2 linked regions of the Oryctolagus cuniculus genome follow. The protein of the gene in region 1 purifies or fractionates together with the protein of each later gene. This does not show direct contact. Links are inferred from orthologs where the notes say so. Each region holds a gene or a part of one and is shown on either strand. Other genes may lie near its edges.

Evidence for each region.
Region 2: the proteins of CAMLG (region 1) and TNFRSF13B purify together in Homo sapiens (affinity purification with western blotting; 3 studies listed by BioGRID and IntAct, with this or other methods). This does not show direct contact. The link is inferred for Oryctolagus cuniculus from reciprocal best matches to the Homo sapiens genes CAMLG and TNFRSF13B.

Annotation. Positions count from the first base shown.
Region 1 is NC_091437.1:22,958,581-22,963,033, reverse strand, and holds the start of CAMLG (guided entry of tail-anchored proteins factor CAMLG), read right to left. Parts: upstream 3,038-4,453; 5' UTR 2,935-3,037; coding exon 2,751-2,934; intron 1,213-2,750; coding exon 764-1,212; intron 1-763. UniProt on the Homo sapiens protein: Required for the post-translational delivery of tail-anchored (TA) proteins to the endoplasmic reticulum.
Region 2 is NC_091448.1:66,023,824-66,026,774, reverse strand, and holds the end of TNFRSF13B (tumor necrosis factor receptor superfamily member 13B), read left to right. Parts: intron 1-1,464; coding exon 1,465-1,644; intron 1,645-1,980; coding exon 1,981-2,231; 3' UTR 2,232-2,331; downstream 2,332-2,951. UniProt on the Homo sapiens protein: Receptor for TNFSF13/APRIL and TNFSF13B/TALL1/BAFF/BLYS that binds both ligands with similar high affinity. Mediates calcineurin-dependent activation of NF-AT, as well as activation of NF-kappa-B and AP-1.

The sequences.
Region 1 (4,453 bases):
TGGGTCTCCACGTGGGTGCAGGGGCCCAAGCACTTGGGCCATCTTCTGCTGCTTTCCCAGCCACAGCAGGGAACTGGATCAGAAGAGAAGCAGCCAGGACTAGATTCAGCACCCACATGGGATGCTGGTGCCGCAGGTGGAGGCTTAGCCACAGCACCACAGCAGCGGCCCCTGGATGTGGCTCTCGACTGCAGCTTGCTAATGAAGACAATGGGTGCAGATGACACGGCACGCAGACTGAGTTTCTGACTCACAGCTCTGGGCCCAAGCTCAGCTCTGGTCCTTGAGGCATTTTGGGGAAGAACAAACAGATGTAATCTCTTTCTCCCTCTGTCCTTCTACTTCTCAATTACATTTAAAAAATTTTTCAGGGCCGGCGCTGTGGCACGGCCAGTAAAGCCACAACACCAGCAACACCGGCATCCCACATGGGTGCCAATTCGTGTCCTGGCTGCTCCACTTCCAATCCAGCTCTCTGCTCACGCTCCTGGGAAAGCAGTGGAAGATGGTCCAAGTGCTTGGGGCCCTGCACCCATGTGGGCGTCTTGGAAGAAGCTCCTGGCTCCTGGTTTCAGCCTGGCTGGGCCCTGGCCATTGTGGCCATGTGGGGAGTGAACCAGCAGATGGAAGATATTCCTCCCTCCCTCCCTCTCTCTCTCTCCTCTCCTACCGTGTAACTCTCAAAAAATAAAATATAAAAGCATTCATTATAAGCAATTTGCATATTCCATGAAGTTAGCTACCAACCCAGTCTTTTCCTTACCAAGTATTTGCAAACGAAAGCTCGGACTGCAAGAGCGAGGAGAGCACATCCCACCAATCTAAATATTCGAAAAGAGTCAAACTCCTCTGCCGCGCTCCCGTCCTCCTGACTGGGCTTCTCGCTGGTCAGCTGCCTCCGCAGCTTCATTGCTTCCTCGAACCTGGAAAGGTACTGCTCCAGCCCGTGGCGAGAGGCCCTCTGCACGGCGTCCGCGGCCAGCTCCCCTCTGCTGCGCAGCCGGAGCTCCAGGTTCAGGTCGTCGGGGCACTCGGGCGGCGGAATCAAAGAGTCCAGCGCGTCCCCCCGGACCTCGGCCGCACTGCCGTGCTGGTCCACCGCTCCCGCACCAACTGAATCGCCCAGCACCACGCGCTTGGAGACGGAAGGAATGCCGAGGGCGTTCAGCCTGTCACCGTCCTGCTGCTTCGATTTTGCTTGGCTCTCTTCTTCTGAGGAGAGAAATGTAAGTCTCATGTATTCCATACAGGCGAACACTACACGTTAATATTTTAAAATAAGCGGCTGCAGCTAGAACTTGGCAGTCTCTGAAATGAAATCCACACTGACTGTGCATAAAACGAGAAGTGGTTCCTCCCTCCACACCCTCAAAGCCAGCCGTACACAACAGCTCAGCCTTAGCAGGAGGGGCGAGGAGTGAAATACAAACGGAGAGCCGGCATGGAGCAAACTGTTCTCCCTGCGCTTCCTGGACAGTATATCCCACAGTTCCTGCTCTAGTTATCTGGCTGAATACATAAAATCATCAAGCCTTCTAAAAATCAGTGTGTGTTTGTTTTTTCTAGCTCGAATGTTAAGTTAGATTTTTGAATCCAGAGCTCTATGAGCACAGGGTGTGGCCTGTCCCCCGGCCACTGTTCACGGGTCAGGCAGCCACAGTGTGTCCACACACAGCCTTAAGACCCTGCCATGGCTTTTCTTCCTAAACAAAACCTATAAAGATAAAAATCTCAAAGCAAAAGAAGAAAATAAGAACGCATCTCCAAGAAAGATGATGAAGAATGCTTTGGGAGAGACAAGCATCCTAACGTCGAAGGAGAACTGTTCTCCCAACCACCGTTCTGGACAATTCGGAAAGGGGCTCTCCCTCCCCAGGAGTGTGTCTGCAAGCTCGGAGCCACACTCCATCTCAAACCTCCCGGGATTCAGGAAGAGCTAGGGAGCTCGCAACCAAAAACCAAAGGCCGATTACTAAGAGAAATGCTGGACGGAAACCTTCCCACTCGCGAGCTAAATGATTCGTTCTATTCACAGGGAAAAGGATTCTTTAAGAAAACACCTCGACACCCTCTTGGGGACACTGCTCCAGGTCTCAATGCAAACCCAACCTCAGTCACACCCGTCTCAACGAACAAGGACAGCGCAGCTCGGTGGGCGCAGCGCACCTGCTGGTCTGACTTCTGGAAGGCCTGGAGCTGAACACAGGCACTAGCTGGGGTGGGGTGGGGGGGTCTTTCTTCCATGAGAGCCATTTGAACATCTATAACATCATTTGTGCGCCAAACAAAATTATCAACTTAAAAATCAGCCTGCCACAGATGGACTGGACTTCCAATCCCGCCTGCGGCGATTTCGCGGACCTCAGGCCGGATGTCCCCCAGCCCCGCGTCTCCGACCCACCGCGGGCGGCCCAGGGGGCAGAGCCGACCAGCGGGTGTGCCCGACAGCAATTACACAGCAAACGGCAACACAAGGCGGATGCCAGGGAAAGCCCTGGAAGCAGAGGCACCAGGAACGGACAGCAGGGGACATCCTCCCGGGGGCACCGCGGGCACAGCAGACCAGGGAGAACGGCCGTCTCCAGGCTGCCGCCCGCAGGGACCCGCAGCCGTCGTGGCAGCGACCCCGGACTCAGGCAGGGGGACGCGCGGCAGGGAGAGGCCAGCGAGACGCAGTGTGGGGGCAGGCAAGATGACCCCGAAGATGCCAAGCAGTCGGCAGAACACTGCGGGGAAACGGACGTTCTCACCCGCGCCGCTCCCGGGCCTGTGGAAACCCATGATGCGGTTGATGCGCTGTTCCGAGTTCATCAGCAGCTTTCGCCGCCGCAGCTCGGCCCGACGCTGAGAAGCCGACATGCCGGACCCTGCCGGGGCCCCCGGTCGGTCCCCGCCGTCGGCAGCGACGGTCACCGGCTCCATCCGCCCATCCATGGTCTGCAAGTGGCGGCGGCGGCGGCACGGGTGAGTTCGGGCAGGGCCGCACGGCGCCCCAGCCCGTCCCAGCGTAGACCCGCCCCCCGCGCGCGGGGCCGGGACTGCGGGCCGAGCGCGCCCGCGCCGCCCGATGGGAAGGTGCGCGAGGCTGTGGCCGCCATTTTGAATGAGGGCAGCGCCTGTGGTCCAGGACGGCCTGCCTAGCATTCCGCTGACGGCTGGTCTCCTCTCTTCTAAAATTAGAGATAAACAAAATGGTCCGTAACCTGGCGATGTGGAAAGAGATGAAAGTGACGAAAGCGATAGGCATATAGGTCACAGGTGCCAGGAAGCAAAATGGAGGATGCAGCTTCAGGCGCTTTTTTGCAGAACTCCTGCGGCCTCGTTCATTGGACGCAGGAATACGAAAATTGGCGAACGACGATTTAGAGAGGAATTTTTTCTCGGGGCTGACTCTGAGTCCCTTCAGAATTTGCTCTTCTCTCGAGTGGGCTAGTTCTCATGCTTTCCTCACGCTTTTTTTTAAATAAGACTTTCCCTGCGATGTCTTCCCTGTCCGTACTGTGTGAATGATCCACGCTCTTTAGTCCTTTCTACCCCTTTTCTCCTTTGCATGTACAGCCACCTTGTCAGGTGTGCTGAGTGTTTGTCGCCTGCGTCTCACCACCTGAAATATAAGATGTGTGAAGCCCCGCAGTGAGCTTTGTTCTCTGCTGCGATTTCTATACCGATGTGGATGCACGTCAAGGCCTCCGTGAGGCGCAGCGGCGCAGGCCCTGAATGGGAGGTTTGGGGGCGCCCGAGACTGTTTTTAATTATGTATTTTATTTATTTGAAAAGCAGGATTAGAGAGAGAGAGCTCTTCCATCCGCTGGTTGACTCCCCACATGGCGGCAAGGGTTGAGCCAGGAGCCGGCGCTTCAGACAGGTCTCCCAGGAGCGGGGCCCGAGCACTTGGCCGTCTTCAGCACCAGGCCGGGCGCCGCCTGGACTGGAAGCGGGGCTCCTGCACCCACATGGGCGACATGGATGGTGTTCCAGGCTCCTGGCTTCAGGGCGGCCCTTTCTCTGTAACTCTGCCTTTCAAATAAATAATTTTTAAGGAAAAAAAAAAGCGTCTTTATAAAAAATTACTCAAGTAGCTAAGTAATTTTTCCCTAACCGTAATATCAAAGTATTTATGTTAACTTTTGGTACAGCTATAAATACTCCAAAACAAAATATGCAAAATCATCTGAAATTAGATTTCACGCTGCTGGCTACTCGACTGTGAGTTGGGCCCAGCAGGTCCCCGGGGACCTCTACAGCTGCCAGAGGGCTCTGCGGACGTCATCACATACTTCGGTCTTTTCCCGGGTTCACTTCGGCTCTGACTCTACCTTTTTCATCCCAATCCAAACTGCAGAAAAGCAACAGGCAGGCTGTGATTTTCATTATACAAATGAAATAGTGCCAATTTGGGTGTGCATATTTTAAGGTTGTCCAGTTTCTATGAAGAGTAAGAAGAGGCATTTAG
Region 2 (2,951 bases), on another chromosome or scaffold:
TGGCTCCTTCATCTCCACCTGCGCTGGAGACCCGCGCTGCGTTCTCCTTCCCTGGTTCCAGGTTCTGGAACCTGCCTAGCCCCAGCCGTGGCTGCTGTGTTCATCTGACTGTCGCTCTCCTTGGCTGCCCCTCAAATAAGTAATTTTTTTTTTAAGGAAAGGATGTTTTCAGTGGTGGTGTTTGGGTCCAAAAGAGGCCACTCCACCCACCACGTTTGAGGGACCTGGGTGCCCATGCCCCTGGGTAACACGTGGAAAGTGACCTGTTGTGTGGTTTTTGTTTGCTTTTTTTCTTTTTAAAATTTATTTACTTGAGAGGTAGCGTTACAGAGAGAGGAAGAGACAGAGAGAGGTCTTCCATCTGCTGGTTCACTCCCCAGATGGCTGCAACAGCCAGAGCTGTGCTGATCCAAAACCAGGAGCCAGGAGCTTCTTCCGGGTCTCCCACGCAGGTGCAGGGGCCCAAGGACTTGGGCCATTGTCCGCTGCTTTCCCAGGCCACAGCAGAGAGCTGGATGGGAAGTAGAGCAGCTGGGAATGAACAGGTGTCCCTATGGGATGCCGGCACTGTAGGCAGCGGCTTTACCTGCTACACCACCGTGCCGCCCCTCTTGTCTCATCTGTGTAGTACAGCTGATCGGAATGGCCTTGGGGGCTGATTAAAGGAGATAGGCAGAAGGGAAGTGGCGCATGCGAGCTGTCGTAAGTGCATCGTGTGCATGTGACACGGGACTGTCATGGGTATATCACGTGACATTAAGCCTGGCACACGGGACTGTCATGAGTGTGACACACGCACATTAAACCTAGCACACAAGCCTGTCATGAGTGCACTGTGTGCACATGACCTTGAATCTGGCACATGGGACTGTCATGGGTGTCTCACGTGCAGGTGACATTAAGCCTGGCATGCCCGACCTTGCACCCCAGGGCCCAGTGTTGCCTCCCTTGTAGGGAGCAGGATAAACTTGAGTTGAGGACAAAGACCCTGGTCCTGCTCCTGTGGGCTTTCATCCATCCACCTCTAGGACTATCTTAAAGTTTCTCCACAAAAAAGTTTGTGGAAAATGCCAGCTTCAGTCTGGCACCAAAACATGTGAAATCCATGCCTAGTTTTTTCACACTATGCATTGTCCTTGAATGTTTAAGATTTATTTTATTTATTTGAAAGGCAGAGTTAGAGAGAATCTTTCAACCCCTGGTTCACTCTCCAAATGGCTGCAAACAGCCAGGACTGGGCCAGGCTGAAGCCAGGAGCCAGGAGCTTCTTCCAGGCCTCCCACATGGGTGCGGGGGGGCGGGTGAGGTGGGCTGCTTGGGCTTTGTTGGGGGGGCGCAGACTTCGGACAGAGAGAGGTCTGGGCAGCTGCTGATCTAAGGGCGCAGCCACTTAGCGTAGGGCCCTGGGGAGCAAGGGCCGCTCCTCACTCGGGTCCTGAGCTCCGGGTCCCTTCTGTCTTGCAGCGCCGCTGGTGCCCAGGCTGAGCGCGCACCAGCTGGCCCTGGTCTACAGCACGCTGGGGGTCTGCCTGTGCGCCATCATCTGCTGCTTCTTGGTGGCCGTGGCCTGCTTCCTCAAGAGGAGGGGCGACCAGGTTTCCTGCCAGCCCCCGGCAGGGAGACCCCGGGCCAAGCCTTCCCAAGGTGAGTGCATGGGGGAGGGAACCCGGGCTTGCCTACGCGGCCCCTGCGCCTACGGGGACAGCGTTAGGCCGTATCGTCCAGGGAGAGGTCTGGGGCACCTTCCTGCTCCGTTTTGGCAAACTCGGATTAAAACAACTGGGCGGGAAGAGGGGAGAAGAGGGTCCCCAAGCCAGGCCCTGGATGCAGGGCGTACGGCGGTCGGTGCAGGCAAGAGGGCAGAGTTGGTGGTGGCAGGGGGCGCCCTCGGCTTCTGGAGCCCGGGGCGGGGTGGGGGTCTGCCGCGGCTTCCCGGGCCCCGTCGCCGCCGACGCCCTCCCTCCGTTCCTGCCCTCCCAGATCCCGCGATGGAAGCCGGCCCCGCAACATGCGCGCCGCCCGGCCCGGTGGAGACCTGCAGCTTCTGTTTCCCCGAGCGCAGGGCGCCCACCCAGGAGAGCTCAGCCACGCCCGAGACGCCCCGGCCCGCGGTCGCTGAGAGCCTGGGGCGCTGCCCGGGGACCGCCGCCCCGCGGTCGTGCGCGCGCGCCCCGGACGGCGGCCTCGGCCCGCTGTGCGCGCCCGCCCAGGAGGGGAGCCTGGGCGTTTGAGGGGAGGGGAAGGGAGCGAGGAGGAAGGGCCCCCTGGGTCCCGGTGCGAGCGACGTTACTCACCCAAAGTGCCCAGTAATAAAGTCGCTTGTACCTGCTGGCCCAGCCCCCGGGAGTCCCTTCTGCGGAGCCAGACTCTCCTGCTCCCCAGGATGGGTCTCCGCCCGCGACAGCCCAGGGCCTGCACCTGCCGCGTCCCCCTGGGGCCGCTGGCGTGCCCCTCCCCGGAACTCCCAGGGGTTTCACCTGGATTGCCACGCCCTGCTCCCCCTGGCCGCCTGGCCACCGGGGCGCCCCGTCTTCCCATCCCAGGGCTGAAGTTGTGGGCGGGACTCCTTGGTCCCCTCGGGCTCTTGACACCAGCTTCTTGCTGGTGCAGCCCCTGGGTCGCGGAGGGGTTGGGGGAGGGAGAGCAGCAGCCGGGCTCCGATGGCTGGGTTCCTGCCACCCACGTGGGACACCTGGATTCTGAGCCCAGCTCCAGCCATTGTGGGTATCTGGGGAGTGGGCCAGCAGGTGGCAACTCTATGACATTGTGGCCAATTGGGGAGTGAACCAGGGGATGGAAGACCTCTCCCTCTTCCCCTCCCCCTCCCCTGCTGTGTGTCCGGTGATTTCTGCTGCCCCGCCAGCCTGAGACAGAGGTGGGAGGTGTTCAGATGCGGAGGTGGGCACACCTGTCACCCCGCCCCCTCACTGCTGTGTGCCTGCAGGGTGGAT